3 linked regions of the Mytilus edulis genome follow. The protein of the gene in region 3 binds, or shares a complex with, the protein of the main gene of each other region. Links are inferred from orthologs where the notes say so. Each region holds a gene or a part of one and is shown on either strand. Other genes may lie near its edges. The genes, in order: U4/U6 small nuclear ribonucleoprotein Prp3-like, U5 small nuclear ribonucleoprotein 40 kDa protein-like and U4/U6.U5 tri-snRNP-associated protein 1-like.

Evidence for each region.
Region 1: U4/U6.U5 tri-snRNP-associated protein 1-like (region 3) and U4/U6 small nuclear ribonucleoprotein Prp3-like share a complex: the UniProt entries of both Homo sapiens proteins name them as parts of the U4/U6-U5 tri-snRNP complex. The link is inferred for Mytilus edulis from reciprocal best matches to the Homo sapiens genes SART1 and PRPF3.
Region 2: U4/U6.U5 tri-snRNP-associated protein 1-like (region 3) and U5 small nuclear ribonucleoprotein 40 kDa protein-like share a complex: the UniProt entries of both Homo sapiens proteins name them as parts of the U4/U6-U5 tri-snRNP complex. The link is inferred for Mytilus edulis from reciprocal best matches to the Homo sapiens genes SART1 and SNRNP40.

The regions. Positions count from the first base shown.
Region 1 is NC_092354.1:9,892,884-9,900,286, reverse strand, and holds the start of U4/U6 small nuclear ribonucleoprotein Prp3-like, read right to left. Parts: upstream 3,849-7,403; 5' UTR 3,737-3,848; intron 39-3,736; 5' UTR 32-38; coding exon 1-31. UniProt on the Homo sapiens protein: Plays a role in pre-mRNA splicing as component of the U4/U6-U5 tri-snRNP complex that is involved in spliceosome assembly, and as component of the precatalytic spliceosome (spliceosome B complex).
Region 2 is NC_092355.1:11,838,586-11,845,988, reverse strand, and holds the start of U5 small nuclear ribonucleoprotein 40 kDa protein-like, read left to right. Parts: upstream 1-2,945; 5' UTR 2,946-3,044; coding exon 3,045-3,149; intron 3,150-5,992; coding exon 5,993-6,122; intron 6,123-6,930; coding exon 6,931-7,024; intron 7,025-7,403. UniProt on the Homo sapiens protein: Required for pre-mRNA splicing as component of the activated spliceosome. Component of the U5 small nuclear ribonucleoprotein (snRNP) complex and the U4/U6-U5 tri-snRNP complex, building blocks of the spliceosome.
Region 3 is NC_092346.1:24,005,212-24,012,614, forward strand, and holds the start of U4/U6.U5 tri-snRNP-associated protein 1-like, read right to left. Parts: upstream 4,753-7,403; 5' UTR 4,414-4,752; coding exon 4,203-4,413; intron 354-4,202; coding exon 299-353; intron 1-298. Other genes in the region: ankyrin repeat and SOCS box protein 3-like, read left to right, coding at 6,857-6,953. UniProt on the Homo sapiens protein: Plays a role in mRNA splicing as a component of the U4/U6-U5 tri-snRNP, one of the building blocks of the spliceosome. May also bind to DNA.

The sequences.
Region 1 (7,403 bases), on a different chromosome or scaffold from region 3:
TATCATCCCATTCTCTACGGGATAAAGACATTTTCTCTCTGCAAAATAACAATCAAAGCACTGTAAGCGCTGTAGGCAGTTAACAAAAACCAAGGCAAATGTAATTATGAGAGACAATTACACTGTGACTTGCTTACCATCCCATTCTCTTCGTGATAACAACATTTTCTTTCTGCAAAATAGCAAAAAGACAATAGACATCTTTCAAGCTCGTTGCATTTCCGTCAAATAGTTTGGTTTTAATTAACATCATTCATGCAATTAGGGGCATTATCACTGCTTTCATAAGGGTATTGTGATGAAGTACCTTAGGGACAAACATTATTTATAGGTTATCCTGCACAATGATGATAACTAAGACGCTTGGTGAGCGTTAATAGTGCAGGGATACAGGCTATCAGCCTCTATCTTGTAAATGATGTCAATTAGGCGCGCATAATTGACGATTTTATTTTGGTGAAGGACAAACTAGAAAGTGGTCCCCAACACTATCACTTGTTTATCATCCCATGATTCTCTACGTGATAAAGATATTTTCTATTTCCAAAATAACAAAATGACAATTCCACTATGACTTATTTATGTCAGAGCTCTTGACAGTAAAAAACATACAAAAAACTATTCTACCCGTATACCTCAAAGAAAGGGGTAAAAATAATATTTGGTGTTGAATTGAATAACCAAATGCCAAAATGACTTTAAATAATATATAGTACATTTATCTATCACACCAAGGGACTCAAATTACAATCCCATCACCCCCACCCCCACCTCATTATACTCTAATGATTGATGAAATCTGCATTTTTATATAAATTCCAATCCTTGACTAGGTTATTTTTCAAATCGTGTAAGTGCTGGTTTGACATTGTTGACCAAGTGTCAATTTGACTTTTGCTATATTTGTTCTATAGGTGTAAATTTGATGTGTACCAAATTAACCTTAACACCTGCCTAATATAATCAAAGTGCTTGAAAGCACTGAATGGTAAAGATTACTTCAATTTATCAGTGGGAAGTAAAATTAATTATTACATTGTTGTAGTTGATTTAAAAGCAATTCTAGACAAAGGAAAGAGAACACCAATTTAAAAAAAAATGATGTTAACAATGACATCATTCTTTTTTTATAACAGATATTAGATTCACAATTCATGCACTTTGCAAATGTTACATGTATATAATTTTCTTGACTAGTGTATCAATATTTTGTGCCTTGAATATCTGAGCATACATGTATATAATCATAAAGTTCTTGAAATGTTGACGGATAGGATGTATAGAATGTTTTTGATCATGTTGATCAATGCACTTGATTTTTTTGTATAAAAAAAAGTAGTGACAAGCCTTTGAACATTTAGATACATGTATCAAGTCAGTCCTATAAGGTTTTGATTGCATTTCATGCTATCTTTACCTAAAAATATACTGTTTATAATCTAACGACTTGTGCTTTTTCACAGATGTCAAAATTTAAATAACTTCAATTCACAAATAAGAATTTTCACTTAGGCGAGTCCATGAGTCGTGGACTCATAAAAATCTGTCTGGACACACCATTTTTAAAATTGGTGAGTCCAAAAAAAGATGAATAAAGAAATATTGTGTATAAACTGAACAAATGTATCCTCATTTTATACCCAAAGTTTAAAAGTAGTCTGAATTTAATGTTTTTTCATTACCCTATAAGGTCATAGAGACTAAAATAATAAATTATATTGCAATAATATATCTTCTTCTTACAATGGAACTCACCATGTCCAAAAATGACAAGTCCCTGCACTCGCCTTCAAAAATTCTTAGCAAGAACCCTGACAAATCCTATCCTCATCTCTCTAGAATGACACCAGGTCAACTGGGGCAGTTTATTCATAAAATCAAAATTGGAACTCCATATTTGATGTACACCATCCCTAAGTGATATTGTTGGCTTTTTTCAAAACTATCTCTACCTTTTTTTTATTGGGAAATATGCATCATTTTTATCAAATTGGGAAATTTATAATAAACCATAAATTTGACTGGAACTTCAAGTTGTAGATCCCCTTTCAAGAGGTAAACCCTCATTTGAAATAAGACCCCTTATTATCAGTGATGACACATAAATAGACCCTCAAATATGAATATATTGTCATTTTAGGCATAAAAAACGTATAAACATGATAAATGGGTGTATTTCAGTTTGTATTCATGCACAATTACTACTGACATTATTATGAAAAATAACTCTACAAATTCTGTGAAAAATTTGTCTTTTTGGGAATAATTTTTAGCCATTTTTTTTTCAAATTGGAATTCTTCTCCAGGGGAAAAAGCCTTTATTCTCCAGTAATTTAAGGCAAACAATATCACTGATTAGTCATTGGTATATGTGATAGATACATAACCAGCCATAACTTGCAGTCTTCACATTAAACCACATGTCCTACAGCCATGGCTTGTAAAATTGTTGTTGAGCTTGTGAAGTTCTTTTCTACAAGCCAACAGAATCCAACTAAAAATTTGGTAAAAATGAGTTTTGGGCTTGTGGATTCAAATGTTTATTGTGAAAACAGCATAAGCGACTGAGCTAGTGAAGTACTTCAATAGCTCAGTGGATATACATGCTCACTCAAGGCTCCTGGGTTCAAGTACCAGAGGAGACAAACATCAACGATAATTATATGGGGACGAAGTCCCAAATTACGGTAGAAAAATCAATAAAAAAAAAAAAAAAATCAAGAAAATTTCCTGAATTTTTCATTCTACTAATGAACTCAAAATCGTTAACTTTTTTTTCAGATCTACTTCCTGTTCCGGTTTTCTCCGCTTTTGCGCAGATATCTGTCTTGTTTGCATGAGACTTTGAAAAAAATTATATTTATCAGTCTAGTAAAATATAAGATTGGATCTCAATACCAATTCAATTTTAATAATTGTTTGATATGAAAAAACGTTACCTGATGAAAGCGTTTCTTTTGTGTACATCGAATATGACGTCATAACTTATAGAACGTCACAGCTAATTCCCTAACAACAGAATCAAAATCGGGAACGTTACGTACGGTATTTCGGTTTCTTTTATCAACGTGATTGAATTAAAAAATAATACATACAGTCTACAGACTTCGTCCCCATTCACAGGTTATGCCTGCCTCATATTAGAAAAAGAATCATGCTCTACAATTACATTGTTGCCCAACAATAAAATCATGGTTAAAAAAGAATAACCCTGCCAGGAAAGTTACATAAAATGAATATAGAGAAGTTCTTCTTGAGCATGTTGAGTTCAGTCAGTAAATACATTGTCTTGTATCACAGAGGTCCCTGAATAGTAAGTAAGTATTAAAGTAAGTAAGTAAAACTTTATTTGGATTCGGCATATTGACAAACAGTACAAACATAAGCTCTAAATATTATGAGCTTGAGTCCTAGGGAGACCAAGATGATTTTATATTCATTGTAAGGAGAAACATGTTTTCCGTTTACACATGAAAGGTACAATTATTACTAAAGTATTAACTCAAATTCTTATTGTATTTTGAATAAGAGTTATTTTTCATAATGATGTCAAATATAAAAATAATTGATGGCCATACAAAAAAAATGTAAAATATCAAATATACAGAAATTATTCCAAGGAAAACTTGTTACTGTGGTTTTCGTTTTACAAATATCAGCATTTGGATAGTTATTTATTTATATAGACTTCATTATTTCAACCTGAATTATATGATGCACTGACATGTTTACTTACAGTATTTTATATTTTTTAACAGTATTTTGGAAAAAAAGATCGTGTTATTATCGAAATGCTAGCCGATCCTTCTTGAAACGGACACGCTGATTGGTTGACAGGGATGTTTCGACCAATTGAAATTACTTACACAACAACAAACTATATAATAAATAAAACAACACGGAAAAGCAAGTTCCGGGATTTGCGCAAATTAATAAGGATAATGATGTTAGAAAATTAAAGAGAAAAGTAAACTTTATGAATAAAGTAAATTCATTATTTTTTATTAAATGTAAAGGGGGGGGGGGGGGGGGGGGCGGCGGTGTGTAACACTTATCAATTCAAAGTTTTAAAAAGTTTTGAAATCTTAGATTTTTGGAATTTTGATCAATGTTTTTAAAAAATATCAAAAATCCCAATTGTGTAAAAGTTTTGAAATTTTGAAATTTTAACCAAATAATTAAAATATTAAAATTCTAAATATCGTTTAAAAATTTGATAGTTTAGTAATTTGGTCAAACTTTCAAAATACTAAACCTAACGTGCAATTTTGATTATCTCACTTTCAGTTGAAAGTTTGATTTTTATATTTTTGATTAAGATATCAAAATAGAAAAGGGGCGAAAAGAGGGGTACTTATAAACTGTGAAACGAAATAGAAGCGTTTTCTTACGCTCAAATTGAGACTAAGAACAAATATTAGTAGCTTGGAGCCAAGATACTGTTATAAGGTATATATCAACATAACCTCATCATTGATAGATACCAGGTGTCCTGGTCCAGGACATGTGCGTAGCTACGTTTACGTCAAAAGGTCTCAAAACGTCCGGGCGTACTCTTGAATTTGTTAAAAAAAAATCATATAAATAGAAATAAAAGAATTGGTTAACAGTACATTAACCTTTTATGTCTCTCTCCAATGGCTTGCAAATGCGAATAAAAGTGACGAAAATTAGTATCATATTATTTCTGTCAAATTCTAAATCTACCGTTAATTCTATACTTATCTCCTTTATTTTTTTAAGCAATTCATTATGAGCTTGGATTCGATATGTGGTTTTCATTTCTTGTCGAGCCATTGACATTTATGTCGCGAAAGCGAGCTATTTTGATCGTAAATTTCGTCGGCGGTACCAAAATGATAACTATGTACACTCATGCAGGTTCATTATGTTCTTTTAGTTTTAAGATATATCAATAACTTTGTCAAACATTTGTGAAATTTTACGGTAGCTGGACAAAAACTGTGTATGCACAAACGAGTATCCAGAGCATAATATCGAAATTATACATATATGATAAGTTTTCCCATATTTTATAGAAAAAGAATAATTTCTTTTTGCACTTAGTCTAACGTTAAAATCAATTACATATCAATTACTTTGTTAAACCTTCGTCGAATTCAATTAAACTTCATTGAAGTGGTTTTTTTTCATGGTTAATTTCAGAAACCAATTTTTTTTTCGTTTATTTTTCAGATTTTTTTGCAATTTAAGTCAGACGATCTGGCCACCGTTAAATCACATATTCTAATGCAACAACGTTTGTAACGTTCATTTTGATTGGATAACGTCACTTTCTTACATGGCTTCAATTGACAATTGATGCTATGGGACGTACGCGCAAGCGCAGACGGCATATGGCAGAATTTAAATACATGTTTTAACGTTGTTTTCTGTCAGTTTCATTAGAATGGAGATAACAATATTGTATTTTAAGCTCCGACGGCATCAATTTGGGATTTGATGGTCGCAAATGCCCGTTTACTGTCTCCGCTAACGCGTCGCCAGTAAACTTAATTTGCGACCATCAAATCCCCAATTGATGCCGTCGGAGCTTAAAATACAATACAGTTATCTCCTAATTGCACAGAGAGGCAAGCTGTCAAATACTTGTAAGACCTAGTAACGCTGCTACATCAGATGCAGAAGCCATCGCTCTGCTATGTTCAATTTCAGATGAAAACATTTTATGAAAGAAGTCGAGAACACTTTTCTGCGATTGATCCATCTTGTTTTCATAAAGTAAAATAATCCTAAATGAAAGACCACGCATACTGCTTCGGTAATGAATGAAGGTTATCCACGGCTCCCTTTAATCATATTTAAGAATTGAATGCTTCTTTTTGTAAATTTATTGGGGTGTAAAAGCGTTGACCGAAGTACATTTTTTATTCCGCGCTTCATTCTAAAAATGTGTGCACGGTCAACGCTTTTACAACCCTATAAAGTTACAAAAAGAAGCATTCAATACTTATAATTACATTTTTTAGCTATGATCATGAAAACACGAATTTTATATATTTTTTTATTTAATTCACCTGTGCACTTTATTGTTGGACCACGTGTTATCATGAATGAAAAGTTGTATTGAGCATTGCAACTGCTTACGGAATAACACGTGATGTGCATGCAGTTAGCCAATCAGAATAAAGTATTATAATGAAACATACATCTAATGTAATTATTTTAAGGTAACTGGTTTGGACGTTTACTCCAAATTAAGCCAAAGACCGCCATTATCTTCTAAATAGATTTTAAACACAATGAATAGAATAAACATAGAAAATAAATTATTTTGAATCTAAAAAATGTTGTTATTGATGAGTTTTCAATGACAGGAATTTTATGACATTCTCGATAACTCTAAAACTTCCGGAGGCTTGTCCCGGCTTATCAACTTCCAGCAGGTTCTTTGGCATGGAACCGCTTTTCCGAGGTTCGGGCATACACGTAAAAATGATCTAGCTACGACACTGACAATCAACTTTGAGCAAAGTAAAGGAACACAGGTATGTCCAGTCAGAATGGGACATGATGCATGATGGATCTTTCCATTTTTGGCCATACACCAATGTTACTCTCGAAAAACCAGTACAATGTAAAATGCTGAATTTTAAGTCACCTACGGAAAGCTGCAACTAATTATTTGAAAGTCAAGTATTTATAAGAACCGAAACAATTGAAGAGGTGTTTGGCCAAAGTGAAGGTAAACGTAACAAAATCCATCTATAAGGGCTACTTTGCCCGAGAGAGTTGAATCCTAAGTTTCTTTGTAATTTGTATGTAAACAACCTATTTTGAATTATCGATTTTTGGTTTCCAGTGACAAATATTTCATGAATGTTCAGGAACAAATTAGCAATAAATACAACAGGAAGGGATTGTGCTTGTTATTCATTTGACGAAGACATAATATTTTGATTAGTTTGTTTGGAGTATGGAGCTGGCATGAGTCACTAACTTCTAGCTTTATATATAGTATATATATATAATTATATATTGTTAATTTATTATGATTGTCATTTTGAATAGTTTCTTTTGTTTCCTATTCTGACATGAACTTTGATTTCTTTTAAAATCCGTTTGACTGCGTATTGCTGCGTGTTTGTTTTTTGGTACATTGGCTAGAGGTATAGGGGGAGGGTTGTGATTTCACAAAACATGTTTAACCCCGCCGCATTTGTGCGCCTGTTCCAATTCAGGCGCCTTTTGCCTTTTTATTCTTGTATGATTTTAACTTTAATTCATTGTTATATTTCGGAGTTTAGTATTACGTCTATTATCACTGAACCATCACTGAACCATCACTGAACCTTCACTAAACCAGTACACTTTTATGTCTAGGGACCAGCTGAAGCACGCCCGCCCAGCACAACGTTCATTACGACACCATTAATAAAGTA
Region 2 (7,403 bases), on a different chromosome or scaffold from region 3:
TTTGTCGTTTAAGATCACATAAAAAGAGATTGTTATACAAGGCTCTACGATGGAACACTTCATCTTTTGGACATATATATTCTCATTTAACACTGGAAGTATGCACTGTAAATTTCCTTTAACACAGTTTGTTTTCCCAGTCAAAATTGTTGACGTTGTGATGATGAGGGAAAAAATGGGCTTGGGAATGAATTTATAATGATTTTTTGGGATATTTCAAAAAAGTTTAAGGGATATGGGATATTTGTAAAAAATATTTATTGGGATATTAGGGGTAAACATTATAGGGATACGGGATATTGGGATAAAAACTTAATGGGATATGGGATATTGATACCCCCCCTAAACAAGCCTCCTTTATCCAGTCGGTTTTATTTTTAAGACAATTAAGAGATTACTAGTCTCATATATGTAATAATGCAACTTGAAATTTCTATGACGAGTTTATTTCATATTTTTACATATTGGACAAATATATACATCATACAACGCACGGCATACTATATAAACCCATAACATTTCTGCTGAAAGAGGCAACATAAAAAGGTAGAAACAGTAGGCATTGGAAAGGTGACATTTCGCTGAATAAATAATGATATAAGGGGGGGGGGGTCAATAGTTGTCCCGTTAACATGTTAACAACACCTCGATTTTGGAAAAAAAACAGTTAACATAAAATGCAAAAATGCAAAAAAAAAGGTATTGATTGAAAATTGGCATGTAGAAATTAAGGTGGTACATGCACAACTCAGGATATATCTGGTTTATATGAAGTTAGAATTGAAGTAAAATGTTGAGAAAGCTGTGAAAATTGCAAAATTTGATTGAACAACTTCAAGTATTTTGAATTGGTAATTGATACTAATTAATATATGCTACTGAGATGGTTAAAGGACGTCTTTTTAAAATAGAATCAAAGTAAATGCAAGAAAACGATTAAAAAATCCATTAGGAAAGGCACTTCATTGATATTACCTGAATTCTAATCAAACAAATGAAATACTTAATCTTCAGAGGCGACTCTAGGGGGCTCTGAGTCTCCTCCCTTCGTGGGGAAACTATAGTGTCGCCCCTTTTTTGTCAGTGAGTGCCCCACCCCACCCCCTTTATAAAAAGTTCTGGAGCTGCAACTGATCGTTACACTGGTATACTTTTAAGAAGGTGGACTAGTGTTTTAGAGCTTTTCTTTCTCTCATATATGTTTCACACGTGGTTTTTTTTTCTACTTTAAATTTTGTATTGCCTTCTTTGCATTTTTCAATCAGTTCGATAAGACGGGCGGAGATATAGATATTTATATCTATAAAATCATAGAATGCTTATTATGCTTATATTTATTTCTTTTGCTTGCTTATTGTGCCACAAGATAAATAAATGTTGATACTTATAAATTCAAGAAGAAAAAAACAATTATAAAAAAAAAATCTGTAAAAACATCTATAATTTCGGAGAACCTTTAAACGTCCTTTTAAAGAATATCTTGTGGTATACCGTTGTTCGCCCATCCATTTGTCCTTCTGTTGGCTGACGTCAACACACCAGACAATAACGCAAAGTTAAAGTTTCCGAGTTATAAATCGTAAAAAAAATCTTTTTTCCAGTTTTTGTGCCTCATTTATGGGCATTATCTGTTCTGGACTGTCCATTCGTTCGTTTGTCCGTCCGCCTGTCTGTACCGCTTCAGGTTGAAATTTTCCGTCAAGGTACTTTTTGTCCTATCAACTTGAAACTTAATAGTACACATGCTCCTTATGATATGATCTTGCTAATGCCAAATCAGAGTTTTGGCCCTAATTTCACGGTCCACTGAACATAGAAAATAATAGTGCGATTTTGGCATCCATGTACTATGGACACATTCTTGTTTTACTATAAGTCAAAAATGCTTTGAGCAATTTTCACGAAACTTAGAGAATCGTTTATACTTTAGTATATACATATACATATAATTGACACAATTTTCTCGTTCGATTTTAAAAACGAATCTGAATTAACGTTTTGGAGTATTTGAACTTTATTCATAAAAAAGGGGGAACTTTCCAGCTACCGGACAATAACTGAAAACAGTTTCCATAAAACTTTGGAGATTTATTGGTCTGATTTGACATAGCTGATTTATGAAACCTTGTTCGAAGAGCTAAAATAGTGACAGGTGCATCATGCGCAGATGGCGCAGCTCATTATGATAGACAGTTCTTGTTTCAGCTGTATATTATGATATGCTTTGTTATCTATTCTTATTCATATTATCTGCAGATGATGTCATAGTTTGGGTGATTTGTTAGATTTTGTTTCAGCGGTACTTAAAATGGCCCGAGAACACAGATATTCCGTAGTGCACTTCTTTTAGACAATAAATTCAAATTAAAAAAATCGAACCTGCTCTATCTCAATAAGATTGTTACAGTGTAGTGTTTTACTAAGTAGACAAATGATAACAAAGTTATAGAAAGTTCTACCAACTCTTACTCAAAATATTGACAATTCTGTGTTTAGGGGTTTAAAATTCAGTTTGATATATATAGCTTTAGACGTACTAATTTTTGACCTTTTTTTTACTGGATCAAATCACTACTTATCATAAAGATTTAGCACCCATTTTTTAACAGGCAATTTCATCCCCGTACTTAATATTTAATGCATAAATTATCAAGAAATAAAATGTTAAAATGTATCCTAAAAAATGGAAGTTGTATATCTACACTTTTCGAACTATATTTATCCTTTTCTTCTTTTTTTTAATATAATTTGGTCGAGTGTGCAGGTTTGTCTGTCTTAAGTGTCTGTATCATGTGAAATCAGAAAACATCTAAATAAGGTCGAGTTTATAAAAAGTGGACGAGTTTGACATATGTTGGTCGAGTAGGCCTAGGGCGATTTAATAATGGGACGAGTTGTTCATAATTGCGGCAGAGAAATCCCGGAAACCTATTCCGGCTGTGAATAAACTTTTAGTGTGGTCTGTACAACTTCCTTCTGTTCGGCGTGATTTTGTTGAAAACAAAAATACTCTTACATTTTCCCACTCCGTTGTTTAAATAACAATGGACATCAAACGAAAAGCAGGAGACAGTGCCATGGTCCCTTTTAAAAAGCCAAGAACAGATCTGGTAGCCTATGGGTCTCAAGAAAAATCAGTATTGCAGATGGTAATTGCCTATAAATTTTATTGCATTATCTACAGTGAACGAAGAAAAGGATCTGGGAGTAACTTTCGAGTCTAATTTGAAATTTGAAAAACATATAAGTGATATTTATAACAAAGCCCAAAGAGTGCTGTCTCTTATCAATCATTCTTTTGATTACATGGATCAAGATATGTTTCTTACTATTTATAAATCAATAGTTCGTCCACTGCTAGAATATGCGACATGCGTCTGGTCACCGTATCTTAAAAAAGACATTCGCAAATTGGAATCTGTACAAAGAAGGGCCACAAAGCTGTTAAAAAATAATTGTCATCTTAATTATGAAGACAGGTTACGTTCATTGGGTTTGCCAACTTTGGAATATCGTAGGGATAGGAATGATATGATACAAGTCTACAAAGCGTTGCATGGTATAGATGACATCGACTGGATGAGCCTATTTACTTTAGCACCATCTAATAATACTAGAGGTCACTCATTAAAACTTTTTAAAAAAACAGTGTAAGACCACACATAGACTAAATACTTTTTCAATTAGAGTAGTGGATCAGTGGAATAACCTGTCAGATTTAACGGTGACGGCAAAGACTCTGAATAGTTTTAAGTCTGCATTAAATGGCGTAAATTGGAACCTATATAAATTCATATGTTCGTGTTAAGTGTTTCAGCTGCGCACACCTAAATAAGTATTTTTTGATAAGTTTAATATATTATATATAAATCAATTACAAACGAAAGTGAACCAACGCCTGGTGAGTCTGTAGTACGGTAGAGTCCATAAAGTGGATACCCGAGGGTATGCAGGGTCGTTATGATAAAAACATAAAATGTAGAGAGTCTTATTATATATAAATATATTATAATGAGATGAGAAATCATATACGACAATCCAAGATGAGGGGTCAGTAGAAGCCTTTGGCTTATGTAACGACCCGAAGATAAAGGTATAAAGGTATAATTTCTGTCGTCCAATAAACCGGCTTTTTAAAAAAGTTTTATATTTAAGTTCTAACCCTTCTAAAGGGTTACCCTAGCTATTGACCCATGCATAGTATATTCTAGTCCCAGATTACTCTGAGCATGCTGAGGTCCTCAATCTTAAGGCCTATTAATATTTTAATTGTTATACATGTATGTATAACCGACTTTAAATAAATCTTTATTAAAAATGTAGCACAAAAAATTTGTCGCAAGGTGCAGATTTTCTCCTTTGCGCCAGACAAGCTAGGGCAAATCTGCTGTATGGTGTCCAAATTATTTAGCCTTACTGGACGCAATTACGACTGGACACGATTTTTAATGTTTGGCCCCTGATATTAATATTTATGCATGATAATTGATAAATGATTCTATTAATAAAAAATCCACTACATTACTTGTGTTTTCATGAAAAAAAAGTTCATGTGCAATTGGTTAATGTTGCAGACGATGAAAAATTCAATTTCTTAAATGTCAAAATAATTACTCCCTCTCTTAGAAATTGCATGAATAAAGCACACTAGCTAGTGCAAATTGCCTTCTTTTGTCTTAATATAGATAGAAAAATATCTCCTGAATCTGTTCATATGCGTGATGTTCTTAATCTTGTCCAAATAATCCAAAAATGAACGTTTTCTCAGACTCTCATGACCCTGGGGCCAGGGCATTGTCAGAAGAAAATAGTATTTTTAATAAAAAGTCCGGAGAACTCTGAAAGTAATGGTTAAATATAAATTAAAATCATAGGTTCACTAACTAAAAGGAGAATTCAGTGCATCTTAGACGAAACAACTTTCATAAAAACAAAAAAATCCAAAATACATTGTATTTCCTTTTTAAAGATTTTTTTTTGTCACTAATTTTGTCTGCAACTACTGCTGAAGAATTTGAAGTAAAATACCATATTACACTTCTTATTTTCTTAGGAAATGTGTTTAAGATAAGATTAATGTAGGTTTCATTAATTTAGATCGGTTGCCAGATCTATATATAAATATAGTGCCCTTCATAATTGCGTCCATATTGGGCTTGCTAGACCCATAAAACCAGGTCATGCAAATCTTACTAAAGTATCCAAACGTAAATAGAAAATTATGTGTGTTATGACTCAAAATGAAAGCCTTCATACATCTTTAATTCTATGGTACAAACAATTCACGAAAAGTATGCTACAAAGAAAAAAAAAATTTAAATTCAAAAATCGTTCGTAACTGTGTCCGGTGAGGCTAGGGACTAGGTATAAGATTATGTGAAACCATAAGGTTTAATTTTACTTTTATTAATTTATTTTTTTTGTTGTTTTTTTTTTACTTCTTGATGTACTCATACATGTACATCCTACATTTTGTATTTAATTCAAGAAGATGTAGCTTTCATTTTTAAATTGTACATCATGTACATGTAACAAAATAATAACTTGATACTTTCATGAATAGTTTAAATTTACATGGGATAAATCATCATAATTAACAAAAGATGAAGTCAAGAGCAAAAGTCATACTACCCAGCTTCATTAAGATTTGACTAGGCACTGTCTTTAAAGAAAAAAAAAAGACCAGTCGCCTGACAGGTATTCCTCTTTTAAAAATATTTTAATGACCTAATGTAACTTACATGACTTATATCATGTTAAATTATTTACCTACAGCATGTACATGTTTATAAACGTATTTACACTTATGGTATTTAGCTGTATATGTCACCTCCGAATAACCTTTTGACGTCAAGCAACAATCACTTTTTAGTTGTGACTCAAAGTTTATGGGAACCTGTGTGATGTTATGTAATGGCGGAAAAATTTGCATACAAGTAACATGTATTGTATCTAAAAAAAGCTCCAACATGATGTTTACTGTTTTTTGTAGGGTCCTCCAAGACTGTCCGGACTAGAAGCTCCTATCATGCTGTTAACTGGTACAGAAGGAGAAATATATACCTGTAAATTCTCACCTGATGGACAACTAATAGCTTCTGCAGGCTTTGATAGGCTCATTGGTAAGTCAAAGTACTTGATATACATGTACATGTCACATTCCCCATTTCCATTCTCAATTTTATGTATATGTATACGTACATGTATTTATTAAACATGTTAAAGTATATTCAGTATATATATATAATATAACATCTACACACGCTTAAAAAACACGCCTCATGTCTATCTCTAGATTCACCTTCCGTGACAAGGTAACACTACGACTATTGAAGTTATATTTTTATATAGCGGATGTGGTCGAGTGGTCTAGAGGGCTGGCCATGAGGCTAAGCGATTGGTGCTGTAGTGTATCAAAGGTGTGAGTTCGAATCCCGCTGAGGGACGGACAAAAATTTGTCAGTATAAAATCTAACTCTAACACTGTTTGGTGTAATTTTCAGACTTATATATATATATATATATGCTATGAAGTAATCAGATGGGTTTTTTTTCAACAGTAGAATTGGTTCAGTTTGCATATACATGATATATGACATTTTACATTCTAAAGCCCATTTTTTTATAGTTGACAAATTCCCTTTGAATGATAATTTTGGTAAGTTCCAAGCTGTTAAGTTCTAACATCATATTGGGCCTGTTTTTTCTCATGATTTTCAAATAAAGAAGGATTAGCTAGTACATGTAGTAAGACATGTACAATACCAGAATTCAGTTTAAGTTTGGTTGTTGAATGGCTATTTTCAAACTTGCTTGTCTCCATTTTGTTAAGAAAATCACAGACAGGGATAAGTATATGTGTCTAAAAAGTACTTATATTTTCAGATCTATTAAAACATATTGAATGAGATATTTACACTATATTTTCAGGTTTTTGGACTGTGTATGGTGAATGTGAAAATTTTGCAGTTTTAAAAGGTCATAATGGAGCAGTAATGCAAATAGAGTTTTCTACAGATGGAAAGTGAGTATATGGTGTAAGATCCAGGATTTTTGTTCATCTACTGTATCTCTAGCGGCATTGAGATTGTGAGTTCACACCCTGCACATGGGAGAGGTGTTTGACTCTAATCTTAAGGTGGTACCTAACACTACAGGGAGATAACTCTGTAAAGTCAGCTTAATGTTTTAATTACGTTGTGTTGTAAAGGGAATATTAAGCTTCTCAATGATCAAAATTTTCTGACAAAACGGTTGGTTCAAATTTTTTTTAATTTTAAAATTTTTGTTAAAGTGTCAAAGTAAATACTTTTACAAAATTTTATGAAAATTAAACGAGCCAAATAAATTTTAGTGAAAGTGTTGGGTACCACCTTAATTGTCAGCTGAAGGTTGTTAGTAAT
Region 3 (7,403 bases):
ATTTAGCAAGATATTGTCATTAGTCCAGTCATTTATAGTCGAAACATTATTACAGTAGAAACCTTCCATATATTCTTGCAACTGATTTAATATGCATGTACTCTAAATACAATAAAATCTTTCTTGATAAAAAGGAATGAACTAATGAAATAAAATAGCTTGTATAAAATACATCATTTATATATAAGTTTTCTGAACTTCATATTGATGTTTTTTTTGTTTGTTCCAGCAGTTACAATGTATTATGAATTATTTCAGGGTATTCATTTTTCTCTGAATGTCTTCTTTAATCACTTACTTTGTTTCTTCTATGCTCAATTCCAGGCCTCCACCACTTGCTGATGTCTCTTGAGCTACAAGTAGATAAGAAGATATCTTTAAAACAATTGTGCGCTAGCTTTTATAAGAAAAATGGCATGCCATGAACATTTCAGTTAAACTTATGATCATGAGATTTTTTTGTGAAAAGGGTCACAGAATTTTTATATTTCATATGATATGCAATTGTTTTGTATTGTAATGTTAAGTTATTTAGTGCAACAGTTGAAATATATATATTGAATTTGATCACATTTCATAGTTTTATCACAAAATGCAAGCAATGGAAATTAAAAAACTTGTACCATTAACATTATTAATGAAATGTTGAATAAATTAAAAATAAAGCATTTTTTATCATCATATTTCAAAAACTACCACGAACAAACTGCAAATTATGGTTGTCTACCTTGAGAAATATTGAAATTGAAATTGACTGATTTTACTGTAGAAAATCATTATGATGGTCAATTTTGAGGTTTATTATATATTCTAATTAATAAATAACTCAATAGTGAAACATCTGATGGCAATAAGCAGGTTTACTGTTATCACATCTTTAAAACACCTGTTGTAAATGTTTATTAGCTGAGGCTCATAAACATGTCACAAAAATTTTTATAGTATTTTCATGGAAAATGATTTTACACAAAAAGTGACGAAATTGATGTGAAATACTTTTGTCATTTGGAAAACAGGTTGTAAATAATGAAAAATTATTAGCTCTAGCAAAATCACTGCTTAACCCTGTGTCAACGTATATTTGTTCCACCTAGAACAAAAGTTCCACTGGAACTGTAATAAACAATGTCATAATACCTGTACCAGTTGGAACAAATATTCTATACCATTTATTCCGTTAGGAACATATACTGTAATATTTATTCCTGTGGAAATAATATTCCAGAATATTTCTTCCTTTAGGAACTTATATTATGAAGGACCTTCTATTCCGTGACACCTCTAGCTGCAGAAACATTTTAAAGTTGCATTATGTGTGCCAGAAACTTGATGTCAGTAACGTCTCATGCCCAACAATGACGTAACACCCTAATGACTATTACATTACGGAGGGAGGGTTGTAGGGGTCCTGATCCCAAAATCACAGGCTTAAAAACATGAAATTTAAAAAAAAATAATCCAGACATCCCTAAAATTGTAAAAAATAAATCCCGGATCCCGAAACGTTCAATCCCGAAAGCCCTAGCTTAAAAACACCTGATCCCCACGTCCTGCCCCCCTCATTTTGAACCTCTAAAGACATATATAACACAATGTTTAATCTTGAGGATTTTATCTGAAAGAGATAAAGCAAGAATGAGAAATTTGCATAAATTCAAACATGAACTAGAGGCTCTAAAGAGCCTGTGTCGCTCACCTTGGTCTATGTGAATATTAAACAAAGGAAGAAGATGGATTCATGACAAAATTGTGTTTTGGTGATGATAATGTGTTTGTACATCTTACTTTACTGAACATTCTTGCTGCTTACAATTATCTCTATCTATAATGAACTAAATTGACTATAAAGGACAATAACTCCTTAGGGGGTCAATTGACCATTTCAGTCATGTTGACTTATTTGTAAATCTTACTTTGCTGTACATTATTGCTGTTTAAAGTTTATCTCTATCTATAATAATATTCAAGATAATAACCCAAAACAGTAAAATTTCCTTAAAATTACCAATTTAGGGGCAGCAACCCAACAACGGGTTGTCTGATTCATCCGAAATTTCAGGGCAGATAGATTTTGACCTGATAAACAATTCAACCCAATGTCAGATTTGCTCTAAATGCTTTGGTTTTTGAGTTATAAGCCAAAAACTGCATTTTACCCCTATGTTTTATTTTTAGCTATGGCAGCCATCTTGGTTGGATGGCCAGGTCACCGGACACATTTTTTAAACTAGATACCCCAAAGATGATTGTGGCCAAGTTTGGATTAATTTGGCCCAGTAGTTTCAGAGAAGAAAATTTTTGTAAAAGATTACTAAGATTTACGGAAAAATGGTTAAAAATTTATTATAAAAGGCAATAACTCCTAAAGGGGTCAACTGACCATTTCGGTCAAGTTCACTTATTTGTAAATCTTACTTTGCTGAACATTATTGCTGTTTACAGTTAATCTCTATCTATAATAATATTCAAGATAACCAAAAACAGTAAAATTTTCTTAAAATTACCAATTTAGGGGCAGCAACCCAACAATGGGTTGTTGGATTCATCTGAAAATTTGAAGGCAGATAGATCTTGACCTGATTAACAATTTTACCCATTGTCAGATTTGCTCTAAATGCTTTGGTTTTTGAGTTATAAGCCAAAAACTGCATTTTACCCCTATGTTCTATTTTTAGTCATGGCGGCCATCTTGGTTGGTTGGCCGGGTCACGCCACACATTTTTTTAAACATGTTACCCCTATGATGATTGTGGCCAAGTTTAGTTTAATTTGGCCCAGTAGTTTCAGAGAAGAAGATTTTTGTAAAAGATTACTAAGATTTACGAAAAAATGGTTAAAAATTGACTATAAAGGGCAATAACTCCTAAAGGGGTCAACTGACCATTTTGGTCATGCTGACTTATTTGTAAATCTTACTTTGCTGAACATTATTGCTGTTTACAGTTTATCTCTATCTATAATAATATTCAAGATAATAACCAAAAACAGCAAAATTTCCTTAAAATTACCAATTCAGGGGCAGCAACCCAACAACAGGTTGTCCAATTCATCTGAAAATTTCAGGACAGATAGATCTTGACCTGATAAACACTTTTACCGCATGTCAGATTTGCTCTAAATGCTTTGGTTTTTGAGTTATAAGCCAAAAACTGCATTTTACCCCTATGTTCTATTTTTAGCCATGGCGGCCATCTTGGTTGGTTTGCCGGGTCACGCCACCCATTTTTAAAACTAGATATCCCAAAGATGATTATGGACAAGTTTGGATTAATTTGACCCAGTAGTTTCAGAGGAGAAGATTTTTGTAAAAGATTACTAAGATTTACGAAAAATGGTTTAAAATTGACTATAAAGGTCAATAACTCCTAAAGGGGTCAACTAACCATTTTGGTCATGTTGACTTATTTGTAAATCTTATTTTGCTGAACATTATTGCTGTTTACAGTTTATCTCTATCTATAATAATATTCAAGATAATAGCCAAAAACAGCAAAAATTCCCAAAAATTACCAGTTCAGGGGCAGCAACCCAATAACGGGTTGTCGCATTCATTTGAAAATTTGAGGGCAGATGGATCTTGACCTGATAAACAATTTTATCCCATGTTAGATTTGCTCTAAATGCTTTGGTTTTTGAGTTATAAGCCAAAAACTGCATTTTACCCCTATGTTCTATTTTTAGCCATGGCGGCCATCTTGGTTGGTTGGCCGGGTCACGCCACACATTTTTTAAACTAGATACCCCAATGATGATTGTAACCAAGTTTGGTTTAATTTGGCCCAGTAGTTTTAGAGGAGAAGATTTTTGTAAAAGTTAACGACGACGGACGACGACGACGACGACGGACGACAAGTGATGGGAAAAGCTCACTTGGCCCTTCGGGCCAGGTGAGCTAAAAATGTGACTTCGGATCGGCACAGCACATAGTCATCAATAAACCTTATCGCTAATCCCGGCTGACCCGGCCGCTTGAACTTTTGACGCATACAACAATCACTTTTCCATTGTGGCGTCAGCTATTTTGTTTTATGACGTCAAAATTTTATGGGAACCTGTGTGATATCCAGTAATGGCAGACAAATGGGGATAAGGTGTATATAATTTATGATGGAGTGCGGAAACTGAAAATAGAAGACACTCGGCAGTAAGGGAAATCAGAAAATAATTTTACATAGATGGAAGCCAAATTTCTTGACACCTACCAACATCTGCTAGAACTTTTTGTAGTGGTGCTCGATTGTAGTCATCATAGTTTTCATCATATCCTTCGTGAGTGTATTCTTGTTCATCTTCATGTGGTTTGTTGTCTTTTCGACTGTGTTTATGTCGCTTTCGTTCTCTCGATCGAGATCTGTGACGGTGTTTTCTTTTGTGTTCACGGTCCTTTTCTTTGTGTTTTTTAGACGACCCCATGACGGAATATACACTTGAGATCTACAGCATTAATGGGTAAAAACAGATATTTATTTACGATTTCTGTTCGTTGAATTACCGGAAGTTAAAAAAAACTACAGTAAAGTGTATAAAATAATGTTTTATAATGGGTTATGCCAAACTCAAAAGCGTCTTCTATAAAACAAATAAAAAACATAATTCCATAAATGGTTAGTATATCTAAGAATATATATTCAAAACTACAAATTGCAAAATATATTAAACATAAACGAACACTTTAATGTTCTATGAATGGTAAAGCTAATAACCCGGTCTACAGACAGACCATTTTGTGAGATGTGGAAAATCCATACAAACTAAAAGTAAAGTTGCTGTCTGACAAAAATAATGCATGCAATATGAATTCTCTTATTAAGAATATGAGAGGAACAAATAGCAATGATCAGAAAGAGCATTCAACTTTATCCCTTTTGACTCTACATGCTCTTCTCAAAAACCTATAGAAGGTTACAAATAAAAAGGTAAATTTGACAACTGGACTTTCATTTTTATACAGTACTTAATGAGGATAGGAATACCCATTACCGTCAGCCATCAAACGTTGTGATTTGTCAAAATATCTGTATCATGGTTCTTTAGAGGTCTTAAATGATAATCATTAATGTTATTTTTGGAAAAAAATAACGTGATTCTTAAAAATTTGTCATTTTTTAATTGTCATGCACCAAAAATTAATGTTGACATCATTTGACAAGTTTTTTTACTGTTATAAGTCACGAAGGTACCCGATTACAACTCTTCGTAATAGACAATGATGAAAGAATTTAGTCATCAGATGAAAAGATAAATAAAACAAGCTAATAATTATGGCTCATTCATTCAGTAAGTTTATCTGATTAAATCTGTTTTTCAGATATGAGGGGGGGTAGGAGGGGTCCTGATCCCAAAATCCTGGGTTTAAAAACACGAAATCCCGAAATTCCGGGCTTAAAAATATGAAATGCCGAGGTCCCGAAATTCGAAAAAATAATTCCTGGATCCCGAAAGGGTCAATCCCGAAATCCCGAGCTTAAAAACACCCGATCCTGGAGTCCTGATAAAGGTCCTATCCCCCCTCAGATATTATAAGCAATAGTAAGACTTTTATTAGTGTATGGTGTTCATACTACTCGTCTATATGATCATTACCTCATTTACATCGAGCATTGATAATGCAAAGTTGATATGAAAGTTTATGTTAAAATCTTAATTTTAATTTTATTAAATTGCAGTCATCTCTAACACTGACCCATATGACCGCACTTTTAAATATCAGTCTGCCAGTCATCATAAAAATCACCATAAAGTATATTAATGATTGTTTTTTTATTGAGAACATCTGTAATATTTATATTTCTTTTTATAATAGGTATCCTAATTTTTGTTTTTTGTTCATGAACATTAAAATGTGTTTTAAAACTGTCTGAAAACACACATATTTATAGGTTTTTACCCTGTGAATATACCACTGTCACTCTAATATAATTATAGTCAATTTATCTATTGTCAATTTATTGTTTCAATACTGTATGCCATAACCATGATAACCATTTAATGTAAATGTGTTAGTGCTAATAAATATTGTCTATTGTCTATTGTGATACGGTGTAAACCTTTATCTTTAAGACTTCAACATACTGTGGATTAATAATTATTTGTGGGATACCAATTTTCGAGGATTTTGTGAGTACAGGCAAACCATGAAATTAAATGTTCAATGGATGATAAAATTTTATGTAGGCTTGTATGGCATGTATGCAGACTTCATCAAAACCACAAAATTAAATATGCAAGCTTTCCTTAATCTAGAAAAATAGGTACCCTCGAAAATATATGAATTCAGAGTATATATTTTGTTTATTGTGCCCAACATTTTCAGTTTACAGACAAATTTATTTTTATTCTGATGACAGATGCAGTACAACAGTAAACTAGATTTTTTTTCATTTACAAATCATTTACACATTGCTTCATTTGTTATCATTTGTTGAAAGTTATGGTTATCAAATAAATTGTCTTTGATCTTGTTTTTTATGAACAATGTGCTGTTATTTTAAAAATTTCTTAATTTATGACAATCTGATTGAAATACAGAGTATGTATAAAAGAAGATGTTGTATGATTGCTAATGAGAAAACTTTCCACAAGAGACCTGGTGCCCAAATGTTACAGAAATTAACAACTTTAGATCACTGTAAGGCCTTCAACAATGAGAAAAGGCCATACCGCACAATCAACTATAAAAGGCTCTGTACACATAAGAATTTCTAAGACACAAATTTGTTTATTAAGAAAAAATGTACTCAAATACCAGAAATGACTACCGGTAAGCTATTGTGACATGTGAAGATACAAATGTATAAATACATGTAACATGTGAACATCTACTTCCATTTTTTCATTCTGATAGATTTGGTATGTAATGGATTTCAATGAAACCTATCAGGACACATGTTCTTCAGTAGGAATAGCAGCTCGTAATGGTGACCTTGGTCTGGTACAACAGTTAGTTTGGCATGGTATGTTTTTTTTAACAGCAATACTTCAAGTACTAATTATTGAAAAATCTTAAGGTATTTTTCTTCTGATCCGAGTTGCTGTTGACTTACTAATTAACCGTTGGTATGTTGTCTCCTAGAATTTTCAGTTTTGTATGAAGATGTCTCATTGAATAAATAATCTTACATCTCCAATTATTCATACCTAGAAAATTTAATAATAAAGAGTTGTGGTATGATTGTCTATTAACAAAAGCTGCCACAAAAATTGTTTGACAAGATATACACATGATTTAAAATGCCTTCACATTTAGAGGTTATGATTCTGTTTTCAAAAATGAATAGAGATACCTGAAGAAAAGCCATAAAACGACTTGTTAACGTCTTGTTAACTAAATGTTACATTACAGCAGCAAATAAATACCAGATCACATTTATTTACAAAAGCAAACCCCAAACTAAAACTTCATT